Anolis sagrei: one gene and its partner. The protein of the gene in region 1 interacts with the protein of each later gene in a pairwise test. Links are inferred from orthologs where the notes say so. Each region holds a gene or a part of one and is shown on either strand. Other genes may lie near its edges. The genes, in order: MAB21L3 and AGGF1.

The links.
Region 2: the proteins of MAB21L3 (region 1) and AGGF1 interact in binary tests that used the Homo sapiens proteins (3 or more experiments, as listed by UniProt). The two-hybrid records come from large-scale screens. The link is inferred for Anolis sagrei from reciprocal best matches to the Homo sapiens genes MAB21L3 and AGGF1.

The regions. Positions count from the first base shown.
Region 1 is NC_090022.1:166,384,161-166,397,023, forward strand, and holds the start of MAB21L3 (protein mab-21-like 3), read right to left. Parts: upstream 6,245-12,863; 5' UTR 6,146-6,244; exon of another isoform or gene 6,010-6,145; intron 5,793-6,009; 5' UTR 5,688-5,792; coding exon 5,640-5,687; intron 5,095-5,639; coding exon 4,954-5,094; intron 2,423-4,953; coding exon 2,351-2,422; intron 1-2,350.
Region 2 is NC_090022.1:264,724,679-264,737,691, forward strand, and holds the start of AGGF1 (angiogenic factor with G patch and FHA domains 1), read left to right. Parts: upstream 1-6,771; 5' UTR 6,772-7,070; coding exon 7,071-7,208; intron 7,209-10,663; coding exon 10,664-10,766; intron 10,767-11,783; coding exon 11,784-11,968; intron 11,969-12,663; coding exon 12,664-12,810; intron 12,811-13,013. UniProt on the Homo sapiens protein: Promotes angiogenesis and the proliferation of endothelial cells. Able to bind to endothelial cells and promote cell proliferation, suggesting that it may act in an autocrine fashion.

The DNA of each region.
Region 1 (12,863 bases):
ACGTAGCGGAGCGCTAGTGGTCTCGTTCGAGAGGCGGGAGTATAAAGTTTTGTCCTGACACAGTTCAGTCGCCATCCTGCGTTGGGACAGTGAGGAGCGGGCTTTTGCCGTTGAGACCTACTTTTCGAGCGGATTTGGAGTGGCCGGCCCGCTCTCCAGATTTGGCCCCTTGTGATTTTTTTCTATGAGGTTTTTTGAAATCTCGTGTTTCTGTGAACCGTCCAAGGACCCTACAAGATTTGAAGACCAACATCCAGGAAGAAATTGCCAACATAACGCCTGCTATGCTGGCAAGAGTCATGACAAATGCCAGAAATCAGTTTACTCAATGTATGGAGAATGGGGGACGTCACCTACCTAATTTGATCTTCACAACTACGTAAAACAAAACTTTAGGTCTCAGCCTACATTATAAAAAAATAAAAAATTCTGATTCATACAATGGGTTTTATTAAGTTTTGAAAAAAAGGAAGTTATGCTGTACTATGTTGGCAGAAGCTGGACCTAACAGTAGGAGCTCATCCTGCACCCTGGATTTGAACCATCAACCTTTTGGTCAGCAAGTTCAGCGGCTCAGCGGTTTAACCCACTGTGCTACCCTGTGCTCTGATACATAGTCATTGTGGCTATTATTATGATTTCTTACCTGCCCTTCCCATGGATTGAGGTGGAAAACAACAACAGATTAAAATAATCATACACAATATCAGTTTAAAACTAACATCAGTTAAAACACTGGTTTTATGATCACTTTAAAACAGGGGTCCTCAAACTTTTTAAACCGGGGGCCAGTTCACTGTCCCTCAGACCGTTGGAGGGCTGGACTATAGTTTTTTTAAAAAAGAAAATCAATAAAAAAATCCTATGCACATTGCACATATCTTATTTTGCTGTGTGGAAGAGGCCTTAGAGGGGTTTTATTCTAGCCCTCTTTAGGCAGTAATTCCAGGAGCAGAGAGTGGGAAATCTTCCTATTTCTAGTCTGAACAAAATCTGGCTACCAGTATTAAAAAAAATAATCTAAAATTATAACTGTAAATAAAGAACAACACTCAAACACAGGGGAACTCCAGACAAGAAACAATCAGGGCCGCTAATCACCTCTCAAAAAAGGATTCTCCCTAAAAACTGTCAGGCTATGAAATGGTAATCAAGGTGGCCAATTGAAACATTCACACCTACCTCCAACAGACAAGAGCTCTTTCTCCCACCCTGGATCTTGCACAATTTTCCTAGTTAAAGGTTTTCCTCTGACATGAAGTCCAGTCGTGTCTGACTCTGGAGTGTGGTGCTCATCTGCATTTCTAAGTCAGAGCCGGCGTTGTCCGTAGACACCTCCAAGATCATGTGGCCGGCATGACTGCATGGAGCGCCGGGGCAGCCTCCCTTGGCTGGCTCACGCTGCCCATCGGGCCCAATGGGCAGCATGAGCCTGCCAAGGGAGGAGCAGCCCCGCGCGGCCTACTCACGTGTAAAGCATCTCGCGAGGTGCTTTACGCGCAAGTACGCCACGCGGAGCAGCTGCCCTTGGCTGGCTCACGCTGCCCATCGGGCCTGACAGATAGCGTGAGCCTGCCAAGGGAGGAGCAGCCCCGCGCGGCTTGGCTGGCTCACGCTATCCGTCAGGCCCGAGGGGCAACGTGAGCCAGCCAAGGGAGGGGCGCTCCTCCTTCCCAGACCGGATAAGTGCCCTTGGCGGGCCAGAAGTGGCCCGCGGGCCGTAGTTTGAGGACCCCTGCTTTAAAAGAACATACAGTTTTATAATTACAGTCCAATGTTTAAAACTCATAATTTAAAACTCATACACTAAAAATCATTTGGGTGGGCTTGCCTAAAAAGGAATTGATCTATAGTGCTGTTTTATTTTTATAGCGTATTCAGATGTTTAGTCCTTTCTGACAGAAATTTCACTGTCTAAGGGTAGCTGAAGAAGAAGGTCAGTAGACCTTTAAACCTCACAGATTTAAAGCCATACATCTGCATCCACAACTCTCATGCTCTGTTCTTCATATGTGAGGGCTTAAAAAGAAGGGAAGGGTTCCACTGGTGCCAGTGAAAGGAGGATTCAGGAAAAACCTAGGGAGGGTGTTTTTAACTTCCTCTGCCTTTGCACAGCGAGCCTTATCTGTATCAGACCTAGTTGTGAGTAAATAAAGAAAGCAGTCTTCAATTGCATGTTATGAATTAAACAGGGCATGCGGTTTACTAAGGTGGCAGGCAAATTAGAAACTATGTTTCTGCTTTCAACACACATTTCAGGAAGAATGTGATGTCCATCTAATGAGGTATCGTTGAAAACAGAAAACAGAAATGAGGGAACTGGGGCAAAATCCATGCAAGGTGTTTGTACCTGGATGGATGGATGGAAGGGGCGCTTCCCCTGAAGTAGAGATGACCATTTGGCCAGTAAGGCTGGCTGATCCTGACAGAGGCAAAAAGGGAAACAAGAGATACAACAGAGGCAAAAAAGTGATTAGTGAGCAAAGTAATCAAGCAACAAGTGTTAATGCACATTTCTAATTGAAGTGATGCCCAAGAAAATCTGTAACTCTGAGGTATGACTTTTTCAAACTAGCCCAAGGCATGAAGCAACACACTATGCAATCCTGCCATGTTCTGAATCAAGCTACTTGTTGCTTTCATGTGAACTCTGCCTACCCTGCCAGTCCTTTATCTTTCTCATCTCCTCTCTTTGCCTCATCTGTCTGCTGTTCAGGTGAGAAAGGAATAGGTTGGTAGAGACGGAAAGCAGGCACATTACTACATCCTATGTACAGCTATGTCTGAAAATTTGAAATGCGTCCCTTAAAGCTCAAAACCCTCTTACATTTACCAAAATGTTACTGTAAGGTGGTTCCGACAAGACGTCATTCTGGAAATGCAGGTTTGGAATTGAAATGTGAGCCAAATCCAGCCTGAAAGCAGAAACAGTGATACCCTACCATTCTTTAGCTTCCAAGCAGAACTTACCCAATTAGTGTGTTTTTGGGGGAGCAATGTTGTTGAACTTCATTTAGACTTTCCCACTCCAACAGACAGACACTCCTGGCTAACACACAACGAGATCCCACTTCCACATGACATCCCAAACAGCACTGCACAGTTCAATACCAGGAATGCAGAGAAGAAAGATGGATTTCAGAATACAGCTCTTGCATCTTCTGCTTCCCAGATTAAATACACTACCCATCCTGACCTGGCTTCTTCTACTTCTCATACTGAGAAATAGGGAAGGGCAATTGTGTTCACACTCCTGTTTCATAGGCTGCAGGAATTAGCTGTGCTCCCTCAAAGTACTTGATTCTCAGCATACCCTTCTCTCCTATATAAGCCCTGGCTTCCATAGAGACAAAATACATAGAGGAAAAAATGTCATCAGGGAAGCTTCTTCCCACCCCCATTATAATATAATGAAGCTGAGTGATGGGAAGGAAGCAAAGCTTGGTAGATGAAGGGAATGTTGTGGATGTAGCATATCCTGATTTCAGTAAGGCCCTTGATAAGATCTCCCATGACATTCTCACAGAGAAGCTAATAAGGTTTAGCAGATTTAGCAGTCAAAGGCAACACACCCTTTAAACTATGGTGGATCCTAGACATAGGATCCTGACACTGAGACAGCATGGTGGCACACATGAGCAGGAGTGTTCTTGTACTCATATCCTGCTTGAATGCTTCCCATTTGGAAGCAACTGGTTTATAGCACTTATATGTTTATAGCACTTCCATATAATATGATAGATGTATGCATCTATCATATACTACTGGAGTATGTGTACAAAGTGAATCTTTGAACACAACCTGAAATACATACGTTTGTAGCAGAAGCTTTCACAGACTGGATCTACTTTATTAGATGCATGGAATATATTCCTTCCTTGGCTCCTGGTTCTTTTATGAATGCTGCCCACAGCCCAATCCTGCATATGTCTCATTAAGGCTGCTGCACTGTAGTTTTGCAGAAGCAAACAGAGAGATGCACAAACTGGGGACCTCATCCCACCAGTGGGGGGAAAGTGAGGGAAAGTGAAGGGAACAGAATTACCCCTTTCCCTCCTGTCTTTTGCCATCTTCTGAGATGGCCAGCCATCCCTCGTCCCTCCTGTATTGAGGTCCATACCCCTCCACCGCCTGCTTTCTGTCACTTTCTTATTTGGGGATTTCAGGCTTCATTTCCAAAGGAAGACCCACAAAGTCTCACCCTGTGATGACCTCCATGGGACTCCTGTGGAGCTCTGTTTCCAAAGCGGATGGAAATGGAGCCTGAAATACATGGGTTGAAGTCCTGGGCCAGTTCTAACATTCCACCTGTGGCTGATCTGGCCACGCAACATCTGTCTGGATTATTGTAACATGTTCCAAGCTTCAGGTTGCCCAAAGTGTTGCGACTAGATTGTTCATTAGGATTGGTCACAGGGTTCATGCAACTTCCTTACTGCAACAGGTCCACAAGCTGTTGATCAATTTCTGGGCACAATTTTGGTAAATACTGGTAATGACTCATATAGCTATATCTTTCCATCTGATCCTCCCCAGGTACTGGGTTCCTCAGGAGAGGATCTTTTGTCCATTCCACCATAGGTACTGAGCCTATAAGGTATCTTTCTCTAGATTTTGGAACAACTTTCTAAGGAAGTTAGAATAAACCCCTTTGCTGTCCTTCATTTAGCTGGGAAAGACTTCTCTATTCCAACAGGAGTTTTAAAACGAGGATTTAAAAGAAAGGGCTCTTAACAGTATGCTATATTGCTTTAATTGTACTGTGTTGTTGTTGTTTCTTAAAGAGATTTTTAAAATATTTTCCCTAGCTTTAAGGGAAAAAACAGACAAAATATATTAATAGTAATGATAATAATGATGTAAAGTATGGTTTTACCCTTGAATGGATCTGAGCATTGACTCAATTACTCATTCACTGAACACATACACTGGCAAAAGAACCTCCACTCTTACCTTCATGTTCTCATTATGAATGCCAGAGTTGGAAATTGCTTGGAAACGGGGATCCTTGTTGCTAATATCTGTGGTTAGCCGCTGTATGATTTTCTGCACTTCATCCACAATTTTGGAGACCACTCGGTGCCTCACATCCACCTGCAGATATAACCCAGCAGTTATATTACTTTCTTGCAACATCTCCAGTCCACATGCTACCAGGCATGTAGCTGGGGGGGGGGGGGGGGCCTCGAGGGGCTTCAGCCCCCCCCCCCAAAAAAATTTGTCATGGTGGTTCGCGAAAAGGCCTTATTGGTGCATTATTTAAACTGTTATGTTTATTCATATCATGATCTGATCACCATACTCAATATATCCCATATGCATGGGGGGTATTGGCGTAATGATACAAAAGGTTTGCTAGGGTAGACCCTCTTTCACTCAGACTCAGCCCTCCCAACTCAGCCCCCCCCCCGAAACCCCCCTGAAAAAAAATCACACACCCCCCCTCCCGAAACGAAATCCTGGCTATGGGCCTGCATGCTACAGGTAATATATTTGTACATACTGATAATAGGTAGCATATTTGTACATATTCTTGGACTTGGGGCTCAAGTAAAATTCCAAGGCCATAATCTGAAGATTCCTTCTTTGAGGGTTTGAAAACAAAATCCAGTTCCAAAAGACAAAAGGAGCATCCTTACCTTACTCTGAATGTATTGCTCTATAGCTTCTTCAGTGAGTTGCTTCATGGTAAGAACTGATGCTCCGTGTTTCTCCAGAGAAAGACTTCTGATGTTTCTGCAGGGATAACAATCCCAGTATATTCAACTCCACCTCAAAAATGCTTCCTTTTCCTGCAAATGAAGAAGTACGAATGGAATTCTTCCTTGGGTCCTGCATTTCAATTTTCAACCCCACTTAACATTCCCAATTTTTCCCCCACATTTGTTTGCTTTTCCTTTTGAGCCTTCACATAAGTAATAGAGACAGTTAGAAAGTTAGATTCTTTAATTTTAAATCAGAGCATTTAAAATCCCATTTGCACTTCAAAAATCAAAATTTCATGATCACCATGCATATTGTTTGTTCAGCCCAGAAAGTTTGCAAATTATCCAACTTCCTCCCAGTCCTTCTCCCAATCGCTCCTTATCACTTCTTTCTCTTTCCTGATATATTGACAGTAAATGCCACACCACTTGGGCCTTGCCTGCAGTTGGCTTTGCTTTCTTGACTGTAAACACACACTAAGCTGCCGCTTGTTAGCTGCCAGCTGCCCAAATAAGCCCACATACACAACATAAATTGTTCTGAAAGTGGAAATAATTGATCGGGCCTTTTATCAATCGAACAAGAGCGAGTGGCTTTTCGCAAAAGGTTTGCATCACAATGACAGGGACATAGGCGGTATATTCCAAACTACAAAAGGCCACTTCAAAACAAACAAGCAAACAGCTTTGCAGTGTGTTCCATTGGCAATCTTTTCCCCATTGTGTTGTTATAATGTCACAAGAGACTGGCAGGGCTTGGTGTCCTGGAGAAAAGTGCGTCACTAAAAGCAATTGGGCTTGGTCCTGATACAGATTTATTGTCTCCATCAACTAATCTGGGCAAAAGTTAAGTGATCTTGAAACTGTTCCTTGTTCATGAGACAGTGTTTTGTGTTTTGTACTCTGTATCTGTAGGGGCCTGGTAGGTTGAAGACTCTGCTTTAAGGATAAAGATTCACAGATTTTCAAATGGTGTTGCAATATGTTAGCGCGCTGGTTGAGGTCTGTAGGTGTGTTGCGCAAATGTAATGAAAATCCTCTGTGTCTATGTGAAATTCATCATACATTTTTAAACATATAAATGAAATATTTTAGCGAGATAGGTTCCATTTCATTTTTACAATAGTAAAAATAGTAAAATAGTAAAAATAGTAAAAAAATTTTTAGTAAAAATAGTAAAGAAATAGTAAAAGTAGCAGCCAATAGTGAAAGGACCAAGGCAGAGACATCTCCAGCTCATCCCCTGTTTGGATATCAGCCAGCACGCCAACGACTTAAATCTAGACATAGTTTTCTAAGATCTACAGAGACACTCGCTGGAACACCTCAGCAAGCGAGAGTCCAAAAGTGGCAGGCCCAAACCCAGCACCTCAACCAATGGCTGATACCAAATGAGAGACTCCCCCCTGGGCACACAGAGGACTGGGCGACTTGGAAGGCGCTGAACAGACTGCGCTCTGGCACCACGAGATGCAGAGCCAACCTTCAGAAATGGGGCTACAAAGTGGAATCCTCGGCATGCAAGTGTGGAGAAGAGCAAACCATTGACCACCTGCTGCAATGCAACCTGAGCCCTGCCACATGCACAATGGAGGACCTTCTTGCGGCAACACCAGAGGCACTCCAAGTGGCCAGATACTGGTCAAAGGACATTTAACCAACTACCAAACTCACTAGTTGTGTATTTTTCTGTCTGTTTGCTTGTTCTGTTAGAAATGTAATATATAATGGACTGGTTGCTCTGACACGACAAATAAATATTTTTACAATTTATGCATATGTCATCTCTTATAAGGGAGTTGATTTAACATAATTTTTATTTTATTTTATTTTATTATTACTATTATTATTTTAATGTCATTTTGATAATGTTGTTGTTGTCTGATGTATATGCTTTGATTTTATTGCTGTATGCACCGGGATTGTGGCGCAGCTGGCTGAGTGTCAGCTGCATTAAGATCACTCTGACCAAAAGGTCATGAGTTCGAAGCCAGCCCAGGTTGGAGTGGGTGTCCAGCCATTGTGTAGCCTGTTGTCAACCTTTGCAACCCGAAAGACAGTTGCATCTGTCAAGTAGGAAAATAAGGTACCACCTTGTGTGGGAGGCTAAATTAACTAATTTATGTGGCCATAAAGAAAAGACTCCGGGGAATGTGGAATGCGGAAGAACTTCTGTAATCTGGCCTGAGTCCCCTACGGGGTGAGAAGGGCGGAATATAAAAACTGTAAATAAATAAATAAATATTATTTTGTCTGGGCTTGGCCCCATGTAAGCCACTCTGAGTCCCCATCGGGGAGATGGTGGCGGAGTAGAAATAAAGATGATGATGATTATTATTATTAAGTTTGCTAGTAAAACTGAATTACCATGTCATGAAACGATGGATGTCTTAGTGTGTCACCAAAAATGAAGTGTTTGGAAAGCTCTGGATTGATTCCTTCCTCCATGCAGCCAATAACGGTGCTGTTGGTGCAGATTCTGATCTCTTAGGTCATCTCCCTTTTTCCATTCATGGTCATGCATCTAAAGTTATTCAGAAAAGGATGACCTCAAATAATGCTGCAGATTTTAATTGTTTGATATTCCTAGGATAGTTGACAGCTGCAATCCTTCCCGTTTGCTTTACAGTGTTTGGCTTCTCTTCCCTTATTGGAGAGCGCTGAAAATCCATCAACATCTTCCTTCTGAACAGTTGTGCATCTGGAGTAGATGGGAACTGGGTAGGTCATATTATTGGACTGCATACACAGCACTCTTTCCTTTTGCAGCTTTTCTTTTTATGTGAGAGTGATGTGCTTACTGCCATCATTTATTTGGCTATTGCTAAAAACAAAGTGAGAGAGGCATCCATGGGGCACCTGCCTGAATTATGCGAATGTCTTGGGGAATCAAAGAGAAAAGCTATCCACTCTTTTGGGACTTAGTGTGTAGAGGTAACTTGGGAAGTCATCTGATAAATTATGTTGACTGATATTGGCTCTAGCTTGGCATAGAGACAGTTGCAAAGGTAAACAAGTAGAGAACTGGCAAACACCCAACATGTAATTGAGGACACATCGATTCTGGACTAAATGAGGTGTTATTGTTTTGCCTGCCCTGTTCAGCATACCAGAAAGGTCAGGTTAAACATGTAGTGCATGAGTGTATTCAGTGTCTTTTTATTTCTGCTAAAAGCAGCCATGGAAGTATTGAGTTTGAAATGGGCTGTCACATGCCAATATTTATTTATTTATTTCCTTTTCTTTCCAAAAATTGTGTTATTAGTGGGTTGTTGTAGGTTTTTTTGGGCCATGGCCATGTTCTAGAGGCATCTATATATATAAATTTGTTAGGGGCATCCAACGAGGAAACAAAACGCAAAAACCCCCCAACGAAACTTAACCAAAATTCCCATGCCCATAACACAACCCACAAGGTACAAACATACCTACTCAAAATGAAAAACAACACAACAACACACTCACAAAACGGCAAAACAACAAAACTCAAAAATCCCCCAACGAAACTTAACTAAAATCCCCATGCCCATAACACAACCCACAAGGTACAAACATATCTACTCAAAATGAAAACAACACAACAACACACTCACAAAACGGCAAAACAGCAAAACTCAAAAATCCCCCAACGAAACTTAACTAAAATCCCCGTGCCCATAACACAACCCACAAGGTACAAACATATCTACTCAAAATGAAAAACAACACAGCAACACACTCACAAAACAGCAAAAGAACAAAACTCAAGAAAACCCCAACGAAACTTAACCAAAATTCCCATGCCCATAACACAACCCACAAGGTACAAACATATCTACTCAAAATGAAAAACAACACAACACACTCACAAAACGGCAAAACAACTGAGTATGCGCATTGGCGCCCAGCCGCAAGTTCCATCGCGCGCGCACATGGCCTTCCGGCCAACGTTCCCTCTGCGGAAACCATGCCCACTCCAAGCCCCACCGCGCCGCTTCCCGCACACACACACCCCCTGCCGCACACACACACACGCAACCCCACGCTCCATCACTCCCCCCGCCGCCGCACACACACACGCAACCCCAGGCTCCATCACTCCCCCCACCGCCGCACACACACGCAACCCCACTCCCCCCCGCCGCCGCACACACACACGCAACCCCACGCTCCATCACTCCCCTGCCCCAATCTTACCTCCTTTTACTTCAGGCCACCTCCAAACCCCACCCCGCCCCTTCCCGCCCTGTCAAAATCTAGGAAAGACAGGAAGGAAGGAAAGAAGGAAGAAAGAGAAAGGAAGGTAAAGAAAAAGGGGGAAGGAAGGAAAGTTAGAGGAAGAAGAAAAGGAAAGAAAAGGAAAGATGGAAGGAAAGAAAAGAGAGACAGCAGAAGAGAAAGAAAAAGGGGGAAGGAAGGAAAGAGATAGAGAAAGAAGAGGAGAAGGAAAGATGGGAAGGAAGGAAGGAAGGAGGGAGGGAGGGAGGGAAAGAAGGAGAGAAAGAGGGAAGATTGGCCACAGCAACATGTGGCGGGTAAAGGTTGTTATTTCTATTATTATGATGATGATGCTATTGTTCCTATGAGACCCTTTTAGGGGGAATGGGAGAGGTGTCAGGTCCCAGAGGCAATGCATTGCATTATTGTTATTGTTATGATGGTGGTGAAATAAAAGGAAATAAAAAGTGGAAGAAGGAAGCAAACAGGGCGGGAAGAAAGGCAAAGGAAGAAAGGGGGAGGGAATGAAGGAAAGAGAGAAGGATGAAACCAAGTAGTGAAAGAAGGAAAGAAAGAAAGAGGTAGAGAAGGAAGAAAGTAGAGAAAGGGGGAGGAAAAGGGGGAAGGAATAGGTAGGGACCTCTCTTTCATAATAGTCCAGATATCTACCTCAACTTTGATAAGTTTTACTATAGGCCACAGCAACGCGTGGCAGGGCACAGCTAGTATGTATATATATATTATATGGCCATGTTCTAGAGGCATATGTATATATTTATTATTATTTTGTTATTTACAGCTTTTATATTCCACCCTTCTCACCCCGCAGGGGACTCAGGGCGGATTACAGTGTACACATATGTAAGCTCACAGCAGCCGCTCCCAGAAAGGACACAGGACGCCAATCCGTAATCAATCAGGAAACTTTTACTACTGGATGCATATACACAATGAAAGCCAGGATTGGCACACGGACGCAAGTCAACTCTTATATACCCTCCCTCACATTCGAATCCCCTCTTCCCGCCTGACAAAGATCCCGCGCAATATTCCCCGCCAAACCACCAACGGCCCTCCCAAGGCCACCAGCTGCAATTCCTTATCAGTTCTCCATGTCAGGAATCCGGTTTTTTGCGCCAACGTCCAAGGCCAGGAAACCGAGTCCTGACATAATGTCCCCCTCCACCTCTTCTTCTTCCTGGAAGGGAAATATACGTCACCATTATGTCCCTTCTTTGTCTAGTGGGCCTTGGTATTTCTTTAGCAAATTACAATGGAATGTCGGATGTACCTTCCCCAATGTCTTAGGGAGTTTCAGAGTATATGTCACTTCATTTATTTTGCTAGAAATCCTAAAGGGACCAATATATTTGGGAGACAATTTCCGAGAGGGGGTATTTAGCTTGAGGTTTTTTGTGCTCAGCCATACTAAATCCCCCTCCTCCAACTTATCACCTTCCCTCCTCTTTCGATCTGCAAACAGTTTATATTTTCGTTGGGCCTCTCGTAGTGATTTTGCCACCTCCTCCCAGTTCGCCTTCATTTTGTCAGGCCATCCTTCCTTTCCCCCCAGCTCTTCCCCCCAACTCGGCAGTTTGGGTAAAGGGGTTACTTCCATGCCGTACACTATTTCAAAGGGGGATTTCCCTGTGGATGCGTGACAGGCTCCATTATACGCAATTTCTGCAAACGGGAGTAAATCGGCCCAATCGGTTTGGCATTGGTTTGTGTATGTCCTTAGGAACAGCCCCAAGGTTTGTTGCGTGCGTTCGACCCCCCCATTGGTCATGGGATGGAACGCTGAACTCAGGGTCCGTTCCACCCCCATCAACTGCATGAACTCTTCCCAGAACCGGGCCGTAAATCGCACCCCTCGGTCACTAATCACCTGGTCTGGACAACCATGTAACCGATAGATGTGTTTGATAAATAGCTCAGCCAATTTCTCTGCAGATGGTAATTTAGGTAGCGCTATGAAATGCGCTTGCTTTGAGAACAGATCCATTACCGTCCATATGTAACGTTGACCTCGGCTAACTGGGAGTTCGCCCACAAAGTCCATAGCAATTACCCTCCACGGTTGTGATGGTTCTGCCACCTTTTGCAATAACCCCGTTGGTTTTTGTGGGGTTGTCTTACTCTGTGCACACGCATCGCACCGGGATACATACATTTTGGTGTCATTCCTCATCCCTGGCCACCAACACTGACGTGCCAACATTTTTAGGGTTTTCGTTACTCCCCAGTGTCCCGCTCCCTTACTGCCGTGGCATCTGACCATCATTTTTTCCCTCAGGTTGCCTGGGATGTATAACTTTCTATGTACAAATCCCAACCCATTCTTCCATTCCACCTTTTCCTTGTTTCTTTCCAGCCACTCATCCTCCCTGCATGCCTGCCTTATCTCCTCCTCCCATCCTCCGTCTCTGCTCTCAACCCCCACCAGCCTCTGGCTGCGTTCCGTTTGCGCTCGTGTTTGCACTGCCATGCCCCACTGCCGTTCTGAGAATATGCTCCCCTTCGGGCTTCGCCCCCTCCCTTCATCCTCCGGCATTCTCGACAACGTGTCTGCGACCACATTTTGTTTCCCCTTTTGGAAACGCAGCTTAAAATCGAATCTACTGAAATACTGAGCCCATCTTATTTGTTTTGCTGACAGTTGCCTGGGTGAGGTGAGGTATTGTAAGTTTTTATGGTCGGTCCACACTTCAAAGGGGATGCCGCTTCCCTCTAGTAGGTGCCTCCACGTTTCTAGAGCCCTCACCACTGACAGAGCCTCCTTCTCCCACACCGGCCAGTTTCGTTCGGTTTCGCCGAACTTTTTTGAGATGAACCCGCAGGGTTTCAACCTCCCTTCTGGGTCTCTTTGCATCAGGGCCGCCCCGTAAGCCCAATCTGATGCATCACAATGGATTATGAATGGCTTGGTCAAATCGGGGTGGATTAACACTGGTTCCTCAG
Region 2 (13,013 bases), about 98 Mb from region 1:
CACCTGGTAGTGACTTTAATTATTCGCTTTGAAAGTCTTCTTTAAGAATCTTAGTTAAGAAGGAGTGGGATACTCATTACTTTCAAACATACTGTTAGTGACTTGGTATCATTGTTGCAAACTTAGGGCAGCCCTCGTTACTAAGAAGATACTAGAAAAACTAAAACATATCTTAAATCAGAGCCATTTTTTTGCCATCATTGAATCAAGGGGACCCCATTTGGGGTTGATACCCACAGCTTAAGTGCCTTAAATGAATCTGTCAAATTCATCAATTTTATAAAAAGGCAAATCACTGAATTAAAGACTTTTTGAGCAACTTCCCAAAGATATGCACAGTGAACACCACTAACTTTTACTATACTATGAAGTTTGTTTGCTATAGTTAGCTAAAGTTTTGTTGCATTTGTATTCTTCATGGAGCAGCAATTTCGCCTTAGCAATCGCTTGACAGATTTTGGTTTTTAAATTAGCATATCTGTCACATATTTTCAGTCTTTAAATAGACCCAAATATTCATGGGAAAAACTTATAGTTTCTAAAGTGAAGACAAGATTGAAGCAATGATATAAAAATGGAATTGTCCATCACCTATTGAGCCGAAACTATGAGACATTTCCAAACCTCAGAAAAGTATTGGTTCCACTGCCAAAAGTTGTCTGAGAAGGATATATCACTTATCACTTCGCATTTGAAAGTTTTGCAACATAGCTTCCATGAATATTTGTCTGTTTCTGATGCAAGTACAAACCTGATTCAAGATCCATATTCAGTTAATGTATGTGAATGAGATGGGATCACAGCAACAGAGGACAAGCTAATAGAAATATTCACGGATGGTGCTCCCTAATTGCAATTCAAGCACCAGTCCCTTCCAAATTTCTGGGCTCACTTACAAGCAGATATTCCAGTGCCATCAAAGAGGCTTAGGGAAGTATTGATGCTTTTTGAAATGATATGCTTACATGAAAAATAATTTTTGGTCCTTATTTTACAAATACATAAACATAAAATCATTTGAAAAACATAGGATCAGAATTCACAATACAAGTTTCAAAAAGCCTGCAAGTGAAATGCAACAGAATAGGATGGACAAGAAACCTCTTCCAGAAAATTAGAAACATTGGAGGTAAATTTCAGGCAAAAATGGGCATGATCAAAAACAAAGATGGCAGGGACCTAACAGAAGCTGAAGAGATCAAGAGAAGTTGATGAGACTATTCAGAAGTATAATAATATTGAGGAGAGCTTTGATAGTGTGGTGAGTGAATTAGAACTAGACATCCTGAGGAGTAAAGTTGAATGGGCCTTTAAGAAGCATTGCTAATTATGAGGCAGCAGGAGCCTTATAACCAAGATAAAAAAAAGAAAATGCAAAAGCTGAGTTGCAGTTAAACATAAAAAACCAAGATTATGACAACCAGAATGATTGATAACTGGCAAATAAAGGCAGTGGCAGACTTTGTATTTCTAGACGTGAAGATTACTGCAGATGCAAACTGCAGCCAGGAAATCTGAAGACATTTACTTCTTAGGAGGAGAGCAATGACCAATCTCGATAAAATAATGAAGAGTAGAGACATCACACTTGAAACAAAGATCCTCATAGTTAAAGCAATGGTATTCCCCATGGTAACCTATGGATGTGAGAGCTGGACCATAAGGAAGGCTGAGCAAAGGAAGATAGATACTTTTGAACTGTGGTGCTGGAGGAAAATTCTGAGAGTGCCTTGGACCGGAAGATCAAACCAGTCCATACTCCAGGAAATAAAGCCTGACTGCTCAGTTGAGGGAAGGATATTAGAGGCAAAGATGAAGTACTCTGGCCACATAATGAGAAGACAGGAAAGCTTTGAGAAGACAATGATGCTGGGGAAAATGGAAGAGAAAAGGAGGGGCAGACCAAAGGCAAGATGGATGGATGGCATCCTTGAAGTGACTGGCTTGACTTTGAAGGGGGGTGGCCATGGCCAACAGGGAGCTCTGGTGAGGGCTAGTCCATGAGGTCATGAAGAGTTGGAGGCGACTGAACAAATAACAACAACATTTTTTAATTTTTAGCAAATTGTTCCAGGTAAAATATTATAACACTAATGTGAGAACTTACTTCTTTCTCTGGTCTCTCCAAATCTGATGAACAACTTTAAATAAATATTTGATGCACTTTAAGCTTTCAAATCATGAGTGGACTGCAGCAACTAGATATTTTAAGGGGGACCTTGGTAAAAAAAAAAAAAGGTTATAAACTGTTGATTTAGGCTAAAGAATTCTGGAGAAATTGAAACTTTGTACACATGAGTGGTAATTTGGCTGGTCCCAATAGAGGCATTCTCAAACTAAGCCTCTTTGGCGGGAGTCTGCAGCCAAAAAAGTGTAAAAATATTCAAAAGAACTTATGAATGTAACAGCTATACTAATCAACGACTTACATTAAATTCTGATTGAAATGAACTTATTGCAAAATGGAATGTTGTTGTGTTGTTCAAGTCATTGCTAACTTGTGGGAACACTTGGGCAAACCTAATATAGTGTTTTCTTGACAATATTTATTCAGAAGTGGTTCCTTTGCTTTCATCAGAAGTTCGAAAGTGTGATTTGGTAAATCATTGTGCGGCTTGGTAAATCGTTGTGCAGCACCCTGCATTGTCCTCTTGCCATCCCACAGTGAAATCCATCTGTCCCCAGCTTGCTCCTGCCTTGTCCTCGATTTGTTCTATGAGAACGCAGGTAGTCTCCTGTGTTCTCAGAACTGGCGCTTAGCATGCTGCGTGCACAGAGCTGGCATGGAGCCTCACTGGAAACAGTCATGCATCATGTAATGGGCTCCATTGGGCTCTGTCCTGTCTGCATCTCAGCAGCATCTTAGGACAGTACTGAAAGCCCATGTGATGAGGATGAATGAAAGTCAGTCTCCTGAGGATATCCAGGTATTTAGAAATATCAGACACAAACTGTGCCTTGATAAAGTCTGTATTGTTCTGTCTGCTTTTCATTGAACTGTCTGGGCTTGCATGACCCTCTTCATTGTTTCAGAGGCTGACTCCTTTTGTGCATTATTTATATAATTACCCTATCACAGACTCTTTGCATTGCCTTAATCCATGTGATTAGCTCAGCCTGGGCAAACTATTTGAAATGCTCTGTCTTCAAATGAACAAATGACAGCTCTCTATTCTTCACACCATGGGGGAAACTCCATCCATCTCTGATGCCAGCAGGAGTCCCCAGCCAATGAAAGCCCAGATCCTAACTTGACCATTTTTGAGCCAATCAGGGGGGGGGGGGGAGCTGGTCTTTTGATTGGCGAGTTTTAAAAACTTTTATCACAGGGAATAAAATGTCTTGCACTACCTTGCATGGGTATGTTTTAGAGTGGAGACTCTGAAAGACATCCTTTCAGGCCTGAAAGTTAATAAACTTATGTCTATTGCCTTCATACCACTTGCCTTTACTACTTACTCAGCATCTGGCTGTCAAAGTAGCAATGTGCACCAGACAATAGATCCACACCACTCCTTTGCAGCCAGCTTAATTTCGACTTCAATCATACCATTAACAATGGGAGCAACGTTTCAAAAATTATAAAATTATTAATTAATTAATCATACATAGTGTAATTTTGGAAGTTGAGAAGGAAATTAGCTGCAGGTAGTATTTTACCAGAATTTTTAAAAATTAGTTAACTACAGAAATATAAACCATTTTACCTCAAATATGTCGACAGTAAAATTCATTGATTAGTCCACTGACCATATCAACAGTAAAGGACAAAAAACAAGAAAATACACAAATACGTCAATATTTATACAACCTATGGGAGACATAAATAACTATTTGCAACTGCCAGGTTGGAATGCAGAGAACACAAACTTAGCTTGAAAACCAACCAATCAAACCTGAGTTGATGGAAGGTGCATCTACAACACTGTTGAATTAATGCAGTTTCACACCAGTTTAACTGCCATTGCTCCATGCTATGGAATAATATGAGTTGCAGTTTGGTGAGGCACCATCACTCTTTGGCAGAGAAAAATAAAGATCTTGTGAAACTACAGCTCCCAGGATTCCAGAGCATTGAACCATGGCAGTTAAAGTGCTGTCAAACTGCATTAATTCTTCAGTGTAGATACAACCTGATTTCTGCCTGACAGTTGCAGATCTTAAGCCCCTATTACTTCTGCAGGTGGGGAAGAAAATAATATAGTATTTAAAAAAATATTTTTGTTAACATTTTCTAATTAATAAAATCATTAAGTAAGTAAGAAGAGAAAAAGAAAATCATATGGTCTTGAAAACCCTGCAAAACAATAGCTTCAGAAACACCCTTATCTCCCTCCTTTTTGCATCTTTCAAAGTAGTTTGTTATTTTGCAACAGGAAAATATCACGCAAAACTTCTTTTTCTTAAAGAAAAGGTCCTAGTGTGAAGTCAGAGGCCTTGCTAGAATGCAAATCAAGATTTCACCATCACAGTTAATAGTCCCCTATCACCACCTACTGGAGATTAATGGAAGAACTAAGACGTTTGAAACAAAAAATCCATAACTTTGTAAAAAAAAAAAAATGAAATACAGGTTATTTATTTATTTATTTATTTAGAAGTTTTATATACCGGTCTTCTCACCTCGAACGAGGGACTTAGGCCAGTTCACAACATGTGTTCAAATACAATAATATACAAAAACAACACAATGCATCATCATTACAGATTAAAATATAAGTACAGTAAAAAACATCATCATCACATTACCCAAGCCGAATCGTCAATACAGTCACAGTCACAGTTCATCATCCTCCTTCCATGTGGACGAAGGTTATAGATTCAGTCCTCAAATGCCACATTCCAAAGCCAGGTCTTTATTAGTTTCCTGAAGGTCAGGAGGGAGGGAGCTGATCTAATCTCTAGTGGGAGGGAGTTCCAAAGCCGAGGAGCCACCACCGAGAAGGCCCTGTCCCTCGTCCCCACCAAACGTGATTGCGAAGGTGGTGGGACCAAGAGCAGGGCCCCTCCGGAAGATCTTAATAACCTTGATGGTTGCATCTACATGGCAGAATTAATGTAGTTTGACACCACTTGAATTGCCATGGCTCCATGCTATGGAATCGTGGGAGTTTGGTGAGGAACCTGTAGTCTTGGACAGGGAAGGTTAAAGTACTTGTGAAACTACAACCACCAGGGTTCCATAGCATTGAGCCATGACAGTTCAAGTGGTGTCAAACTGCACTAATTCTGCAGTGTAGATCATGCATAGGTAAACATGGGCTGTCAACACCGTTTCAAGCATTCAGGACTTTGGCTCCCAGAAGTCTCAGCCAAGTAGGCCAACGATGAGGAATTCTGGGAGTTGAAGTCCAAAACACCTGGAGGGCCAAAATTTGCCCACGCCTGGAAATCCTTTGGCTCATTTCAAGTGTTTAGGACTTCAACACAGTTCTGGAATTCACTCCCCGGAGAAATTAGGCAAGCGCCCACCCTGGCAGCATTCAGGAAGAGCCTGTTCCAGACTTGGCTGTTCCAGTGTGCCTTCAACCCCATTGTTTTGTCCCACCTGAACTTCCTTCCAGATACACTACACTGCTCATCTCACCCAGCGTTTTTAAACGTTGTAATCTTTGCAACTGGCCTTGCCCATTGTGCCTAATTATTGTGATTTTATATTGCATTGTGTGTTTACTCTGTATTGTTTTTTGCATTATTATTTTCATTATAATTTATTGCTGTATTTTTATGTTATATATTTGCTTTGTTGTTGTTGGGCTTGACCTCATGTAAGTTGCCCCGAGTTCCCTTGGGGAGATGGTGGCAGGGTATAAATAAAGTATTATTATTATTAACACCCAGAAGCCTCAGCTAAGTAGGCCAACAGTGAGGAATTCTGGGCGCTGAAGTCCAAAACACCTGGAGGGCCAAAGTTTGCCCATGTCTGGCAATCCTTTGGCCCTTTCAAGTGTTTAGAACTTTGACTCCCAGAAGCCTCAGCCAGGTAGGCCAACAGTGAGGAATTCTGGGAGCTGAAGTCCAAAGCATCGGGGGGGGGGGGGGGTTGTTTGCCCATGTCTGGCAATCCTTTGGCCCTTTCAAGTGTTTAGGACTTCGGCTCCCAGAAGCCTCAGCCAAGTAGGTCAACAGTGAGGAATTCTGGGAGCTGAAGTCCAAAACACCTGGAGGGCCAAAATTTGCCCACACCTGACAATCCTTTGGTCATTTCACGTGTTTAGGACTTCAGCTGCCAGAAGGCTCAGCCAAGTAGGTCAACGGTGAGCAATTCTGGGAGTTGAAGTCCAAAACATCTGGAGGGCCAAAGTTTGCCCATATCTGGCAATCCTTTGGCTTGTTCAATTGTTTAGGACTTCAACTCCCAGAAGCCTCAGCTAAGTAGGCCAATAGCGAGGAATTCTGGGAGCTGTAGTCCAAAACATCTGGAGAGCCAAAGTTTGCCCACGCCTGGCAATCCAAGTAGGCCACCAGTTTTATCTACTCAATCCATTTTGGACTTGGCAATCCTTTGGCTTGTTTTAAGAGTTTAGGACTTCAACTCCCAGAAGCCTCAGCTAAGTAGGCCTTCTGGGAGCTGAAGTCCAAAACATATGGAGAGCCAAAGTTTGCCCACGCCTGGCAATCCTTGGCCGGACTTCAACTCCCAGAAGCCTCAGCCCAGTAGGCCAACGGTGAGGAATTCTGGGAGTTGAAGTCCAAAACTCTAGGGAAAGAGTTTAAACTGACAGACGCTCCCCGCATGACGTCTACGCCTCTGCCTAACGTCACTTCCTCCTTGGCTAGGAGCAACATCCGGGGCTTGTGGTGGTCCTCAAGAAAGTTTTCAGAGTCAAGTGGCGCTTGTTTATTTTCCGGCAAGGAAAGCGGCGGAAGAGGGGAGGGAACCCTTGGGCCCGCCCCCTCCCACCCTCTCGCGCGGCCGTTGCCATGGCAGCGCCGAGGGGCGTTGGAGGCGGAGGCCTGTTCCCTTCTTGCCGCGCCTCCTCCTCCTCCTTCTCCCGGCCGCTGCGTCTCAGTCCGGCTCGCTGAGGAGGCCTCTGCTTCCGCCCCTTCAAGAGAAGGCAGCCACAAGAATGGCAGACGAGCTGGAGACGCTGCGAGAGGAAGTGGCTGCGCTGGAGGCCGAGGTGGGCGCCTGTCGGAGCCGCCTGGAGCGGGAGAAGAAGCGCCGCCTCAAGGCCCAAGCTGCTGCGGCCAAGTGGAGGAGACAGGTACCAGCTCCACCAGGCATGGACCAACTTGGGCCCGCCCTCCAGGTGTTTTGGACTTCAACTCCCACCATTCCTAACACCCTCAGGCCCTTTCCTTTTCCGCTTAAGCAGCTGAGGGGGAAAAGGAAGGGGCCTGAGGCTGTTAGGAATGGTGGGAGTTGAAGTCCAAAACACCTGGAGGGCTGAAGTTTGCTTATGCCTGTTCTAGCGCCTATAAAACTAACAGAGAGAAAGAAATTGTAGCATACTTTCAAAATTTTTTATTGATTTATGTGCACACAGGGAACAAAACCGACACCAGAGAAAAAAACCCCAAAAAACAAAACAAAATACAACCCCCCCCCCCCCAGAAAAAAAGATATACCCACAAGCACTTTACCAGAACCAATGATTGCTGCACATTGCACATCGCACTTGCCCTAAAAACCCTTTATGCACCTCCTGTCAAATCAGCACTTTTAATCCTTGTACCCACCTTTTGGCCCAGCCCAGTTTTACTGTGTTTTAATGTACTGTGCTTGTTGTTTATTTTTGCTTTAATTTGTTTTAATTGTTTGATTTGCTTGATTGTATTGTTATGTTGTATTGTTGTGGCCTCGGCCTGTTGTAAGCCGCATCGAATCCTCTGGGAGATGTTAGCAGGGTACAAATAAAGTTTAATAATAATAATAATAATATACAAAAGAGTATGCAAGTTTACAGAATGGTATACAGTCAGTGCTCATTAAGCATATGAAAAATCAACTTCGACTGTACAGTTATACCTTAACATTTATTGTCCCTCTAACCAGTGTTTCTCAACCTGGGGGTCGGGACCCCTGGCGGGGTTGCCAGGGAGTGTCAGAGGAGTCGCCAAAGACCATCAGAAAACACAGTATTTTCTGTTGGTCATGGGGGTTCTGTGTGGGAAGTTTGGTCCAATTCAATTGTTAGTGGGGTTCAGTATGCTCTTAGAGTGTAGGTGAACTATAAATCCCAGCAACTACAACTCAAATGTCAAGGTCTATTTTCCCCAAACTCTACAATTGTTTACATTTGGGTATATTGAGTGTTCATGTAAAGTTTGGTCCAGACCCACCATTGTTTGAGTCCACAGTGCTCTCTGGATGTAGGTGAACTACAACTCCAAACTCAACGTCGATGCCCACCAAACACTTCCCGTGTTTTCTGTTGGCCATGGTAGTTTTGTGTGTCAGGTGTGGTTCAATTCCGTCATTGCTGGAGTTCAGAATGCTCTTTGATTGTAGATGAACTATAAATCCCAGCAACTACAACTCCCAAATGACAAAATCAATCCCCCCCAACCCCACCCCAATCCAATTTTGGGCATATTGAGTATTTGTGCCAAATTTGGTCCAGTGAATGAAAATACATCCTGCTTATCAGATAATTGCATTACAATTAATAATAGGAGGAAAATTACAATTATGAAGTAGCAAAATAATGTTATGGTTGGGGGTCACCACAACATGAGGAAATGTATTAAGGGGTCGCGGCATTAGGAAGGTTGAGAAACACTGCTCTAACCCCACACCCATGAACCCAACCTCCATGACCTCCGACACCACTCAGTATGGATCCCATAACTAACCCACAGCTACCCACATAATAATAATAATAATAATCATCATCATCATCATCATCATCTTTATTTATACCCTACCACCATCTCCCCAATGGCGACTTGGAGTGGCTTACATGGGGCCAAGCCCTTCCACATGCACAATGGAGGACCTTCTCACAGTGACACTAGAAGCACTCCAAGTGGTCAGCTTCTGGTCATAGGAAATTTAGTTTTTAACTTTGTTTGTGGCTTTTTTAAAATATACATTATAACTGTAATCTCAATTTGCTTCTGACATGATAAATAAAAATTACCATGGCTCAGTGCTATGGAATCTTGGCCATTGTAGTTTTACAAGTTCTTCTCTGCCAAGGAGTGATGGTGCTTCAACAAACTAAAAATCCTGGATAAGTCACACACTCTCAGAAAACCCCATGATAAGTTAGAAATGACTTGAAGGCACACAATCACAACAACAAACTGTTGCATAACCACCCCTTCCTCTTCCTCCTCTAGCATAGCTTCCCTCAGTAATGTTCCTATTCTGGGGGGGAAAACCATTCTGCTCTGTTTTTGCCTTGCCCAGAGTGCTCTGTTGGATTAATTTAGGTCAGAAGTGGCCAGTGGCATATCCCATCTTCCCACATAACATGGCCAATGGCCAAGGATTGTGGGAGTTACTATTCCGGCATCTGGAGAACAGATTTCCTTCATCTGATGAGTAAAAAGAACAGATCTGTAAAAATTGCTTTCTATTTTATATCTTTTACATTTATCATATCTTGCCATTTCTTCAAGGAAACTTACAGAAGCATACATGTTTCCAGATCTTGCCCTGTCCTACAACTACCATACCTTGTGAGATAGGTTAGGATAAGGGAACTTGACATCCAAGAATTAAGCCACGTTGGGTCCCATATGAGTGAAATTTGGAATATAAATTAAAATAATTAAATAAAATATATTAACTATATGATTAAATAGAGTTGTGTATTTGGGCTTCCTGCTTTTGGTGTTCTAGCTATTGCATTGTAGGGCAGTGGCCATATAGGCAAGGCATCTGTTTGTTACTCTGCAGTTTATTCCAGTTTCTTGTGTTTTGCCCTCATCCTGTCTGTCTCCAACCTGGTCACCAACTCCACTCATGTCATGTAGCCGTTTTTTGAAAAAATGAAATGCTAGTGCCTGTCTGAAAGCTTTTATCTTGGTGGAGATTACTTGGGGTTTTGTAGTAGTTTCTTATTTGTGACGTGAAGGAAAACTCTTTATTTGTTTTTGCTCGTCAAATTCCAGGACTAGGGGTTAGCGAGCAGGTTCCAAGTATAAATTCTAGTGAAGACTTAGATCAATTCATATTTGTACCCTTAAAGTCAACCTGCCAATTTCTGTCACCCATTTCCTTGTTAGTGTATGTACCTAATACCTTTCTATGTCCTCCCTCAGATTTTGAATTCTTCCATTCTTCAGTTTGTCATCTTTCCTTACGCATGCCATAACATTATCTGGAGAATCCAGAAAATTCCTACAGAGGACCTATATTGTTCTATGTTGGTATAGTCAAGTGACAGGGATAGTTGTACTGCATATCAGAATTTGCCCTCCTCATTAAATTACCATATACTGATTGCTGACAGCCATGGAGGGCCCAGAGATAGCACTTGTCCCCTTTTCACCCATGGTCATATTTGTGAAACTAGCAGTTATGTACTGATATACATGACTTTGTAAGGTTTCGACATAGCAAGTAGGTGGAGAATTGTACTTCCTTGACCAACAAGTCTTTGTTTTTATGCATAAAAAGTATGTACACCACCACTGATGTCTTTAAAGTGTTCCTGCCAGTCTTTCTGATTTTCCCTCATCCAGCTTCTAAATACGTTTTTTTTTTTAGGTTGAAGAACTGAATAAGAAAATCAGTGAGAGCAAAGGAAACAAGAAGGCAACATGCACTGTAGAAGTACAGACAGAAGATGTTTCATCATGGTCAGATTCAGGTAGCTAGCCAATGGTGCGACTTAATGAAGTACTCATGGTTTGCTCAGTAACCTTAAACTTGTAGCTTTGTTTCCTAATGTACATATGTAACAGAAATAACTAAATTAATTCTGCTGCTCTATTATGGGAATGCCAGTATTCAGAACATTCTGCCATATTGGTTTTTCCTGGCTGATTTAATTGTGTTCTATAGTAGTCCTTGTTTTCATGTAATCCTACAGTTTGGTAAAATGTTAATTTAAATCTTGATGTAAAGAATCAAGGTTGGATTGATGTAATATCCTCAGTGTGGGACTACATTTGAAACTACAGTGGCAAAGAGGCTTATGTATGTGTTCTTATTGCTTTTCCATGTGCCCAGCTGATGATAAGAGACAAGGTCTTCTCACTGACTGCACAAGTATTGTGGAACATTTTGCCCTATGATGTAAGAGTAGCTTCATAAACTGAATGTCTTTTGCTCACAAGTTTTTTCCTGCTCTGTGTTTGTTTTGTTTACAGATTGTTTTATCTGTGACCCTGATCTCTAAAATCATAGAATCATAGAATATTTTTATTATAAAATAGAAAGGGGAAACCAATTGGTGTATTTCAGTATGAACTTTTGTGGATTGCAGACCAGTTCTTTGGGCATATGAGGAAGTGTATTGAATGTGTAATGTGTTAGGTTGTTAACTGTTTCTATACTGTAGCACTGAATTTTTGCTGTTTGTATTTGTTGTATTTGTTGTGAACCGCTGTGAGTCACCTTCGGGCTGAGAACAGCGGTATATAAGTAAGGTAAATAAATAAATAAATAAAGCTACAAAAGCTCAGTTAGTTTAACAGACTGTTTCCCCATTCATCTTTCCTTTTTATGCTGCAGTACAGCTATATTGTTTTTGAATTTTTATTTGATCCATTCTTTTATATTGTGATTTAAAATCTTGTGATCTATTTGTACTATTTTATTTTTATAGAAATGAAATATTATATAATTTATATAAAATACGGCTAATTTTACATTTATTTTGCAGATTACTACTACCATAATTATAATAGTTCTGATCCTCATGATTTACCCAGTATACCAGTGCAGTCAGATAATACAGAATCAAACTACAAATGTGCAGATGAGTTACAGTTAAGTGATCATTCACATGTAAATGGCACAAAGCATGATGAGCAAGGGAAACATGACTGTATAATCCACAATGATCAGGTGAGCTGCATTTTGTTATTATATTTCTGATCTGTTTTGCCGTCAAGATGTTGATGTGTACATTTATCATGTATTATTTTTATGATAGCCCTATGTTTGTAGTATAAAAGAGGATCCATGAAAAACTAGCTAAGTAGGCATTATTGAACCTGCATGTACTTACCCAATGCAAATATTCTTTTCAAAAAAATACTATGGTTCTTGTTATTTCATATGTTCTCATATACAATGTGATCCTACTTTATGTTGCTGTAGTCAACAATGCAATTTTTGATGAAGAAAAAGGTTGAATTCTTCAGATAGTTGTATTGATTTTTTTTCATCCATGCTGCATCAGCAGTATAGAATAAGGCCATTCTTGGCTCCTGGTGCTTCGTAAAAAAGAGCTTTATTGATTAATTATTAATTTCATATAGTACTGTATTTTAATATTATAATTGAGATGGGGTGAACATCTAACTCCTGTGGACAAAATGCATAAGATAGTCTATTATAGTAGTTAAGAGTGCTAAGTGAAGCTGGATCCCAGGTCCATCAGGGTCTTAAAAGACAACCTTGGGAATAGCAGTATTTTTGGCATGCTGTTTCCCATCTATGATAGCTATATTTTCTAGTACTCTTATGGTAGGAAACAACAAATTGTAAAATATTCTGTGCTTCACCAAGTTGTCATTCATGTTGTATTTCTTTTTTAGAAATCAGAAGATCTTTTGTTAACAGAAGGTACATTAGCAGAAAGTCTAAGAGCTGCTGCAGAAGCTGCTGTATCACAAACAGGATTCATATATGATGAAAGCACTGGATTATACTATGACCATAGCACTGGATTTTATTATAATTCGGTAAATATTTAATTTATTACTTTGTGAAATAAATACATTTTACTAACAAATATAAGCTAATTGGATTTATTAAAAACAGTTCTTGTAACAAATATTTTGTGAATGGCTTTTTCTTGAAGTAATAGGCAATGCTAAGAAAACAAAAATAATGCTCACCAAAATGAAATATCCACTTTCTAAGGCACTAGATAACTTCATACAAA